Rattus norvegicus: one gene and its partners. The protein of the gene in region 3 binds, or shares a complex with, the protein of the main gene of each other region. Links are inferred from orthologs where the notes say so. Each region holds a gene or a part of one and is shown on either strand. Other genes may lie near its edges.

Evidence for each region.
Region 1: Smc2 (region 3) and Ncaph share a complex: the UniProt entries of both Homo sapiens proteins name them as parts of the condensin complex. The link is inferred for Rattus norvegicus from reciprocal best matches to the Homo sapiens genes SMC2 and NCAPH.
Region 2: the proteins of Smc2 (region 3) and Ncapd3 are in contact, whole or in part, in a cryo-EM structure (PDB 9F5W), measured with the Homo sapiens proteins. The link is inferred for Rattus norvegicus from reciprocal best matches to the Homo sapiens genes SMC2 and NCAPD3. Residues at the interface, in NP_001036015.1 of Homo sapiens: Arg112, Ala122, Asn123, Asn124, Thr125, Arg126, Leu218, Lys222, Arg225, His229, Trp940, Asn942, Ala943, Glu944, Phe948, Arg981, Met985, Arg986; in NP_056076.1 of Homo sapiens: Asp31, Met72, Ile80, Pro127, Gly128, Ala131, Phe135, Pro137, Asp141, Lys235, Gln237, Gln240, Leu1121, Asn1196, Asn1200, Pro1203.

Annotation. Positions count from the first base shown.
Region 1 is NC_086021.1:134,850,265-134,854,015, forward strand, and holds the start of Ncaph (condensin complex subunit 2), read right to left. Parts: upstream 2,239-3,751; 5' UTR 2,168-2,238; coding exon 2,149-2,167; intron 1,996-2,148; exon of another isoform or gene 1,779-1,995; coding exon of another isoform or gene 1,712-1,778; exon of another isoform or gene 1,615-1,711; intron 1-1,614. UniProt on the Homo sapiens protein: Regulatory subunit of the condensin complex, a complex required for conversion of interphase chromatin into mitotic-like condense chromosomes.
Region 2 is NC_086026.1:33,755,173-33,758,823, reverse strand, and holds part of Ncapd3 (condensin-2 complex subunit D3), read right to left. Parts: intron 2,923-3,651; coding exon 2,812-2,922; intron 1,480-2,811; coding exon 1,297-1,479; intron 964-1,296; coding exon 785-963; intron 585-784; coding exon 451-584; intron 1-450.
Region 3 is NC_086023.1:71,608,795-71,612,445, reverse strand, and holds part of Smc2 (structural maintenance of chromosomes protein 2), read right to left. Parts: intron 3,077-3,651; coding exon 3,038-3,076; intron 1,706-3,037; coding exon 1,595-1,705; intron 1,416-1,594; coding exon 1,371-1,415; intron 215-1,370; coding exon 1-214. UniProt on the Homo sapiens protein: Central component of the condensin complex, a complex required for conversion of interphase chromatin into mitotic-like condense chromosomes.

The DNA of each region.
Region 1 (3,751 bases), on a different chromosome or scaffold from region 3:
GAGTAAGACACAAGATTCCTGGGAGGAGTTAAAGGAACCCTAACTCATCCTAATCCCTACCCCCGATTTAACAAACAAAGAGCATTGTTTTAAACGTGGCTTCACCGCATATTAAGAAGACTTTAGGTAAGCAAACAAGCTATCTGTCTCTATGCTGTATCTGCTTCAACACCGCCCCAAATGGAGGAACGTCACCTGGCTCTGGCTATGGCTGGTGGAAGAGTCCTTGCCTAGCTCTTCTCCTTGGGTGGGCACGTGCTGAGAGAAAGGGAGAGGGAGGGAGGGAAGGAAAAAGGGAGAAAAGGAGAGAGGGAGAAAAATGGGAGGAGGGAAGGAGAGAACGCCCAGAGAGTGAGCTGACTTTGCTGTTTCCCAACAGGCGATACAATGCGATTTCAATGTGCACAATAAGATTTTATAGGCACACAGAAAAAAATAAAAGGAGACTGGGAATATAGAGCCATATAGAATTCTTGCCTGGCATGCACACGCCATGGCACAAGACTTATACCACAAAAGTAAACAAAGAGACCCAACAAACAAATGCTTGTCCACAGACAGCAGAAGGAAAAGGCAGTCCAAAAACTTTACAAGGGTATAGTTTACACAACTCTCATCCAACACCAAGACAAAACAAAAACGTCAAGAGAGCAGATGTGATGTTTTGTGGGCAAAAATCAAGACATTTGTAAATGTGGATAAGGAAAGGAATTGAGAAACTGGAAGCACTGAGGGATAGCTCTTTAAATCCACCACCCATTGTTCTCTGCAGGGGGCGGTATACATCTAACTCAATGGATTGTTACTGAAGTCAAGAGCACTTCCTGTGCCTGATTTTTCCTCCCACTCACTCAGCCCCTCTGCTCTGCTTCAGTTCTCAGCCTGAAGTGGGCACTTCAGGACTTGTCTCTTCTTCTTGAGCTGCTCTTGGCTCCTGTGATACCTGTAACTTGGGTTTTTTCCAGTGCCCTCCTCCCACCCGGCCACCTGTTGCTGGTCCTGAATGTACTCAATACAATGTCTGTCTGGTGTTCCCACCTGGACCCATGGCTTTACGATCCCCGAGATAGAGAAAAACAAATCTACCTCTCAGCCTATGGACCTCTGTCAAACTCATCCAGTAGAAACCCTCTCACCTGTGCACCTCACCTCTCCAGGAAGTCACAAGCAACAAATTCAAAATGAAACTATTATTAGAAAACTCTAACTTAGGCCTACCAGGTCCTGCCTGTTGTCAGTCTCACTAAGTTTAGTTATAATGGTCTAGCTCAGTGGTTCTCAACCTTCCTAATGCTGTGACCCTTTGACACAGTTCCTCATATTGTGCTGACCCCCCCCACCATAAAATTATTTTCATTGCTACTTCATAACTGTAAATTTGCTACTGTTATGAATCTTTTTTTTTTTTTTTTGGTTCTTTTTTTCGGAGCTGGAGACCGAACCCAGGGTCTTGCGCTTCCTAGGTAAGCGCTCTACCACTGAGCTAAATCCCCAGCCCCTACTGTTATGAATCTTAATGTAAACATCTGTTTTCTGATGATCTTAGGTGAACCCTGTAGAAAGGTCATTTGACACCTCCCCATGGGGACTGTCACCCAAAGGTTGAGAACATACAGTGTAGTAATTCCTAGACCAGTTCAGATTCCTTCCTGGCTCGTCCCTTGGACACGATGCTCCGAGCTAGCTCAAAGTCACTATAGCTGAGGATAACCTTGAATTTCTGATCCTCCAGTCTCCAACTCAAGTGCCCAGGCTTCTTCGGTTGCGAATTTCTGCATCTGACCAAGGTCTGTCCCAAAGGGAGCCCTCAAGACTTTTGAATCAGTTCCAAAAGACAGGCACGAGTGCTCAACACAGAACGGTCGACCCTATGCTTCCACAGCTCCCCACACAACGTCCAGTCCAGAACCACTCCCCCAACCTTTTCCTCCGTTGGAACCGGGGCGCGGGGAGCATTAGAGCCTGGCCGCCACTGGCAGCTGCACCCTGATTGGCCCAGCGCCCCGCTTTCCCTCGGCTTGTCTTCCCTTCCCCCTCCACAGCCCCCGGCTGAACCCCGCCGAACACATTCGTCCCTTCTGGACCTGCCCACGCGAGCACCCTTCGGTCCTGATCCTGACAGCCGCGCCTCGACCCACTCGAGCTCACCTGAGCGTGGGATTTTCATCTTGCTCTCCACGTCTCCGTAGTTAAGTTTTAAATCGTGAGCGCCAAGCGCGGTAACTGCCGCGTGACGCCCCTGGGGGAGTGGCCTTTGGTGCGCCTGCGCAGACCGCCCAGGCGGCTGATTAAAAACTGTGCCGGCGGGAAGTCCTTCATTGAAGTCTAAGCAAGTGAGCTTAGCTGCAGCGGTGACCTAGCTGATGACGTTTGGAAACGCTGGCGGCCGAGCGCTGGGCGCCGAGTAGGATGTGTAGATCTGGGCGGGCAAAGGCTGTACTTTCCTAGAATCTGGATTGTAATGGGGAGGCAGGTTTCTGAGGGATGGAGGTTCATTGTCTTAAAAGACATGTTCTTTGTGGGTAGAAAACGGTATCCTTCTTGAAGTTCCAGGCAAGCAAGAAGGAACGTAAAGCATTGTGTATGCATGTGTACACTCCACCCAGAGTATTGTGTATGTATACATCCCAAGAGCATTGTGTGTGCATGTGTGTACACACACCCCAGAGCCTTGTGTTGACACGTGTGGGCGCCCAGTACAGTTCATATACGTGTATACACTTCCAGAGAGCTTTCTGTCTGCATGTATGTGTACACGTCCATACACACACATATCAGAGCATTGTGTGAGCATGTGTATCTGCACCAAAGCATACATCTACACACATGCATGTACATACATTTGAAAACGAAGCTTTTGTCCAGATTCTTGTAAAAGGCTTTTTGGAGGCCAGCTGCCTACCACCCTTTTTTAAACGGAGGCCTGGGGTGTAGCTGTTTAACATCCTTTACACCATTTGCCTGCCTGCTTACTGTCATCGGTGCCCCTCATTTGGGAAACCAAAGCTCTGCCCTTTGTTGAAAGCTAATTTTAAAAAAAATTTCATTTGATGTGAATGAGTGTTTTACCTGAGTATGTGTGCATTTACTACATGCATGGCTGGTACCCAAGAAGACCGGAAAAGGCTGTCAGATCCCCTGGGATTGGAGTGACAGATGTTTGTGAGCCACCATGTGGGTGCTGGGAATGAAACCCAGGTCTCCTGCAAGAGCAACAAGTACTCTGGACCAACAAGCTACTTCTCTAACTCCCAAAAGCTTCTCTTGAAAGCTATTTAGTTTTTGCATGGATTTGCAAAACTACTTTGGAATGAGGCAGCCTGGTGTACCGGCCCCAGACCTTAGCAGCACTGACTCCATGACAATTTGGACTGTTAAACTCATCGTGGAGGTAGGAGCACCTGCCAAAGGGAAACAAAGACAGAATCTATCAAAGTCTCTAAATGTTCTAACCTTGCTTTTTAGCCTCTGTAGTTCCACTTCTCGCTAACAGTTCTCGTTAACTGAAGTGTGTCAACCCAGAACATGGTTTTGTTCTTAAAAGTTCACCATGAGAAAGGCTCAGGGCTACACTGGATCCTGAACACACAGTATAGGGCATCAGTCAGCTAACAAAGACCCACCTCCAAGCAGCCCTCTCTGGCGGACACCCCACAGCAGTAGATTATGGGAGAAAAGATTGGTGTTCCTCACCTTCCTGAATGCTCCTGTCAGCCACCAAGGACTGGACTTATCCCTTACTGAGCTTTTT
Region 2 (3,651 bases), on a different chromosome or scaffold from region 3:
TGCGTGTGCGCGTGTGTGTACAGGCACGTGTGCGTGTGTGTTTCAATTACTTTTTTTCTTTGGCCTTTGCCACTGGAAATAATTTCCCATACAAGGCTATACCTACGAGGCTGTTTTACTGTGTCACTTACATACAAAATAGGAAAGTATCAATGCTTTCACGAATAGGGCAGTAACAGAAGTCCCGGACTTCCAGTTTAAGGTGGGACACTATAAAGCCACTGGGACAAGAGTTCTGAAAATCTCTAGGAGGCATTTTCACTGCATGCCTCACAGGCGTGATGTGGGGAGAGCGCTGACTTCACACCATTCCCCAAACCCCTCAGCAGAGGAAAGTCCATTTTCTCACCTCCAATTAATTCAGGACAACAGAAAACATTTGGAATGAGGCATAGACTCACTTTTGAATTGTGCATGCTCAATACACCTGATGTCAACCCTAAGGCTTACCACGGCTGGAGGGATTTTCTGGGCTTCCGTTCTCCATGTTGAAAGACAGGGCTCCTAAACTGCGTGTCCTGCTCTTAGACGCAACAGCTTTCTTGACTGAATTCAGGATTGCGATGGTACTCAGAGACATGGGCCTACAGAGACAAGATGGCAGAGCTGACTCCGAGTCAGACCAGCAGGGGGCATCGTTTCCCACCCACGTCTTCTCTTCCAGCCCCCAGGGAGGCTCGTGGTGTGAGGGGTTAGTGATGAGGCAGTTCTGGCCTGGTGGGAATGTGGAGATGCCGTGAGAATGCCACGACTGGGGCTGCTGCTGGCTCAGTGGGCTCCCTACCTGGTACTGGACATTATCTTCAGAGGTCCCTTTTCGCATATAGGAGGCAAAGTTGGTGTGAAGCTGGACCCAGGTGCTGAAGGCTGGCTCTGGGCCAGAGGCAGAGGCATGTTAGCATCGGCCTGGCCAGCACCAGCGGCGGCAGCAGCGCCAGGTACAGCTTGTAAGTCTGGAGCAACCTATCAGGAGAGTGCACAAGAGTATCACTGTTTGCTAGAAGTGCACAGGCAGTCCACTCTACAGCCAATGCACAGGGACAGCCACACAGATGCCAGGCAGGCTGGTCTCTCAGTTTTTAATACAGCACATCTACTTGGAATCCCCAAGCTAGAATGTGAGCTATACTCAGAAACGCTCTGGCAGACAATAAGCTCTTCAGGGAGAAACAACACATAAGACTCGGAGAGGTGCAGGAGGTGGCTACGGAGCTCACGGCACAAACTCCTGCTTTCCGAGGATTCCCACAATTCTCCAGGCAAAGTTGACTGGGCTACTGGTGTGTCCATCCCCACCTGCTGGGAGGGGACCCTGTCCCCGTCTGCAGGCACGTTGGTGGCATTAGCATGCTCCGTCAGAGCTTGCTCCTGGGCCAGTTGTTCAGTGTACTTCTTCATGTCATACTCAAGCTCAGACGCCAGCTGTCTGTCCACTGCAAAGAAGTCTTTGATCTCATCGCGGTAATCCTGCATTACTTCCTGAAACAGACCCAGAAGCATCCTTTAGTGCCTTTTTCCATAAAAAGCGAGGCCTTACTGGTATGGTGCACAACTCCAACTCCAAAATGAGAGCTGGTGAGCCTGGAGGGCAGGAGTTGCAGACCGCCCAAGCCGCACGGCAGCCCCTTTCCTCCCCGTCATGAGAGTTTCTCTGTGTAGTTCTGGCTGTCCTGGAATTACTCCACAGACCAGCCCAGCCCCAAACTCGGAGATCTGCTGCAGGTCACTCAGTCCCAGGACATTTTCCTGGGACACTGAGCACACAGGCAGGTGAGCACGACACTTAGTTTCTGCTTACGGCTGTGGTCCCACCAGAAGGTGCCTGTCTGACTGCCATGCTTCATGGGAGAGGACCCTGTAGAGGTCACAGAGGTTGTATAGCCTGGAAGTGACTCGTGTCCAAAGCAACGTTATCCATGGGTGCCCGGGGCGTGGGGTGGGGTGGGGGGGGAAGAGTATGTCACAAACAAAACAAAACCCCCAAATTCTCATGTTCTCTGTAAAGTGAGCTCAGCTCTCCTATATGATCTTCCTTAGGATGCAAAACTATCTGAAAAATTATATTTAGGATAATTTCGCTATAGCCCTTTAAGGAGCTTTTCCAATTTTTCAAAAAACCCTTTTAGGTCAGAGGAAAACTGACTGGTGGTGTGCGGGTTCTGGCGAGCACCGTCATCTGCTGAGCTATCTTGCTAGCGGCAAGTTTGTTTTTTTTGAAGAAAACCAAATGTGAACAAAGAAAAAGCTACTAAATTAAAGGAGAAAATATGCCATTTTTTCCTGAATGCTTTCTGTCAGACGCCCGAGGCTTTGCTCAGAGCTGTGTTATAAGCAAACACGTCCCAGCTTTGCAGCTCGCATGGTCCTCTGCTTTACAGACGACCCAGCAACAGGAGCTGTCTCAAAAAAACACCTTATCCCTGCATGCATGACACCGCCACGGGGCCGGGACTTCCTGCCTGCAAGTCAAACAGCCAACTTTAAATATGATGACCAATTTCCACCTCATCCTTACAATGTCTTGTCCTCAGCTTTAGTTGAGAAAATCTTTAGACTGGAACATAATCCCAAGGAAGGTTCAAAACACGAACATATGCTTTAAAAACTCAGTGGCCTGAGAAACACGGAGCACCTCAGTGGTACTTCTGGCCACACTTCAGTCCCTCAATGCCCTTGGCAGCCTGCTCGGTACATTTCTATAAACGAGGTTTCTTAGCACCGAGTTCTTGTCGTTCACTGTCTAGACTAAGCAATGAATCTGGGGCAGTGGGGCTTGGGAGGAAAACCCCACAGGGCAAGTTCCTCATTTACCCTGAGGTAGTTCATGAGTTCCCTTAAAGCAGGGATCTTATTTTTCTCCAGCACAGTCTTCAGGGAGATGATGATTGGAATAATATTCTCTATGAAATTCCTCTTTTGAACCTGCAGGAACACACACAAAAGCATGCATTAAATGCACACACATCTGAACATTAATTTTTCCTTCATCTACTTCTTTAAGTATACCAAATCGAGCAGCTACAGAAGCCCATCTGCCAGTTGACTAGAATACTGGGAGTGAAGAGCTTGCCTGGCTTGTTATCAGACTGTAAGCACCACAGCACATACAGGCCTGCACAGCAGAATGCATATTAACACCAATTCTATGTTCTAAACTAGAAGAAGGAGTAAGAAATACACTGAAGAACTTGACAAAAAGCTTCAATCTCTACACAACCCTGATGGACCCTGGGCTCTGATCCACTATGTATCCTTGCTTTTGAAAGATAATCTGATCATGTGACCACCAGAGAGATACATTATAATCTTGCATGTAGAAAGACAATGATCTGTAGTTGGGTAAGCGTGCACGTGTGTGTGTGTGTGTGTGTGTGTGTGTGTGTGTGTGTGTGTGTGTGTATGCCAGTGCTCCTGAATGCATACATGAATGGACACATGTGTCTGCCTTTACTATGTCTATGTAACTCTGTATAGTTTTTTTGAAAGTATAATGTACCGGGGTATGATGACCAAGCCTTATAATCCTGTGCTGACTCAGGAGGCAGAGGAAGGAAGATCAAGAGTTTGAGGACAACCTGAGCCAAATGGTAAGACCTTTTAAAAAAAACAGGCAAACAAACCAATGGTATGTGATTTAAATAATCAGTACCC
Region 3 (3,651 bases):
ATTCTTCTATTTCACAATTGAGAGCCTTTATCTTTTTTTCATTCTCTGACAGTACTTCTTGAAGCTTTAATATTTTATCCTGCATTTCCTTTAGCTCCCCAGCTGAGCGTTCCTTGGTATCTTCAGCCAGCAAAAACTGATAGGCAATATATAAACGGCTCAGATGCTCGATCTCACGCATCACTTTCTGGTACTCCAAGTAAGAAGATCTTTCCTGAAAGAAAAGTCACCATAAAGAGTGATTCAAATTCATACTTTTAAAGCAAATGTGGGGAAATTTTCACTACAGCAAACTTGGATCAATTTCTCTTTATATGATCTGACTTTTGTTTATCGTTAAAGACGTTATCTAAAGCATTTAGAAAGTATAACCTCAAAACTCTGGCTTTTAAGATAACATTATACTGTCTGTAGAGAATTCTACAAGGCCTTGTGTGCGTGTGTGTGTGTTTAAAACATGAACAAGCAGTCCATTTAACAAGGAAATGTGTTTTACGGTTCATATACTGGTGACAGCAGTCTACAAAGTGCATATAGACATCAGGGCACACTATTAAACATATTGGCAATAGTGTTCCTAGGATTCCTACAGAATGGCCAAGTACTACAACCACGTGCCCCACATTAGAGAAGCTGATTCACATAAGGACCCACAGAAGCAACGCAGCAACTAAACTGTAAGCTGAAGGTAGAGAAAAATTCATAGTAGCTTCACTGCCACCCCCTGCCACAGATTTAGAAAGAATACGACAAAAGTGGGATCTGAAGGTTAGGCTTAAACTTCTAATTTATAATTTGCCAATTTTTCGGTCTTCCCAAATCACCTACACAATAAAGTTAAAGAATACTAAATTTTATCAAGCAGTTAATAAGTCTTAGATGGGTAAAAACAATGTGTTCTACAAACATTCCAATACTGCCAAGTTTTAAGATGCTTGGGGTTGCAAATATATAGAAAGAACACAATCCTACCATAAGATGTTATAAATGAACTGTGATAATTACTGTGATAGCTACTATCATACTAGGAATTCACTCTGAAAAGATCAAGGTTAAGAATTCTATCTTTTAAAATGTTCTAGTCAATACTAAGTATCCAGTAAAAGTGGATTTGCTATTCTTCAATAAAGTATTAAAAGCTGTCATTAACATTTCTAAGATTATGAAGACTATTCTCCAATATCATTATGATTTAATAGAAGAAATACACATCCACTGCAAGGAGAAGGCTGGATTAGAGTACTAATTTGAATGCATTTCATCTCACAGAAAAATTCTCAAGTGGTAGACATTTTATCAGTATTTGTATAACAAGTACTTTCACTGATTCTGAGAACAGTTCCAACTATATATCAAAGAATTAGTATTACCTCTTTTAATTTTTGAATTGTTGGCGTAATCTCTTCTTCCAGTATCTAGAATACAAAAGAAAGCCACTATTTTCAGTAAATCAGGTGCCAACACAAAACACATCTAGGTGTCTGTTTTGTAAGACATGGAAAACAACTGAAAAGTAAAACATTTTCTTGATTCACAGCATAAAACTTCAAATCAAGATTCTTCTCCAAAACTATTTCATGTCTTTTTCAATTACCGTTTTTATTTCTTTCAGCTTAGCCTCCTTTTTTTCTATAGTTTTCTGGGCAGCTATTTTTTTGTACTCATACATCCTGGTTCCAGCAGCTTCTTCGATCATGGATAATATCTGAAACAACAATTGTATTAAGAATTCAAAGCAACGTCTCATTGGAATTTAAAATTAATTATAACAATACATTGACCTCAACAGAACTTTACTATGTAACATACACACACACACACACACACACATATATATAAAATATATTATATATTACATATATAGTATATCATAAGTTAACCAGATTAAAATATGTATGTCAATGACATTTAATTTAAAGAAATATTTATAGCTTCACTCTTGTTCCTGAATCAAGCCTTCTTCTACACTAATTTACCAATGTTTATCACTAAAATTCAAGCTGCTGACTCTTATTTTCCTTCAAATATAAGTATACAAAGGCAATTAGACTCTGTCTCTACCTTTCTCTGCCTCTACTACCCTCTTGACTCCCCTCCCTATGCCCTGAATAAACTCTATTCTATACTTAAAAAAAAAGGCAATTAAAGAAAAAAAAGTAGCCCCACTCAGCTTCTATTTTTTAAGTTTGCTCTTACAACTGTTTTACATTGAACTTCACTATTTTATTCCAAGGCTGAAGCATGGAATATTTGCTTACTGACTGCAGCACTAAGAGTTATGACAAGTAACTTTCTCTACACTTCCTTTCTCTATGCAGTGTCTGACACCATGTCTAATGACTAAACAAAGCAGTGAAAATGCATGCCAGCACCTTTAAAAACAGCTTCTATTCTTCAGTGCCAATCTCTAGAACAGTCTTTCTCAATCTTCCTAAAGCTATGACCTCTTAATACAGTTACTCATGTGTGGTGACACACAACCATAAAATTATTTTCACCGCTGTTTCATAACTAAATGTTGCTACTATGATGAACAGTAACATAAATATTACATAAAGTATCTGATTATGTGACCCCTGTGAAAGCGTCATTCTACCACTGAAAGGGGTTGCTACCCACATGTTGAGAACCACTGCTCTAAACGATTTTCTTTTTTTGTGAACCCATTGTAATTTGTACATGTTAGCCAGTTTTAACAATTTTTCACTAAACTTGCACCTGAGGGAAAGTAAACTTGACCTTATATACAGTAGTAAGGTCAATTACAATCTCTTTAACTCTTTTCAATAGCAAGAGTAAAAATAAAAGATTCACTTGATTATATCAACTAGTTTCAAGGTAACTTAAAATTTCTTTATTTCACATAATGTATGCTAGAAAAGAAACTAACTTCATATGTACTGTTTTTCTATCTGGTTTTTCCTTAGTAATTCATTCCAACATAGTTAGCTAGGCTGCTTTATACAGTCAAGATGTTTTAACTATGGACACAGTGCTAAACATGAAGCTCCCTTCTAATCCTTCTCGGTATTCTTACCTCTGGTGGTTTCATATTTAATACTTTCGTAATTCTGCCCTAAAAAGAAAACAGCAAATTTAATAACTTCAATGAGCCATAGAAAATGTTGGATATTCACTGTTTAAGTGGAAATGGCTGTTGCTCATCGGTGTGACACAAATTAAGTTATTAAATGATATAGGTTAACTCAGGACACGTCTGAGAAGATCAGTAATACAAATGGAGAAGGATGAGATTTTAAAACAGACATGGGCTTATTAAGTATTTCTTGATTTTTTTTTAAACCCTGCAAATATATCTTCAGAAAGTGGACCACCTGATTCCAGGTCTGAACGTGAAATTAGATCTGGCTCAGTGGCAGAAAATCATCAACTGCATTAATTTCCAAAACCAATCTCCTCAGGCCTCAGATTACAAGTCACGATGCAGAGGCACTTGATAGTAAGGTGTTAGCTTTGAGGCCAGATTACAGTGAATCTATTTTTATTTTAGATAGTTTGCATATGTCCCTCATAATTCATGTTAGGGACTCAATCACCAAAGGGACAAGGTTGGGAGGTGGGACTTAGTGACAGTTGTTTAGTGAAGAGATTAATGATATTCAGTGGTTTGTTGACTAAACACATAATAAA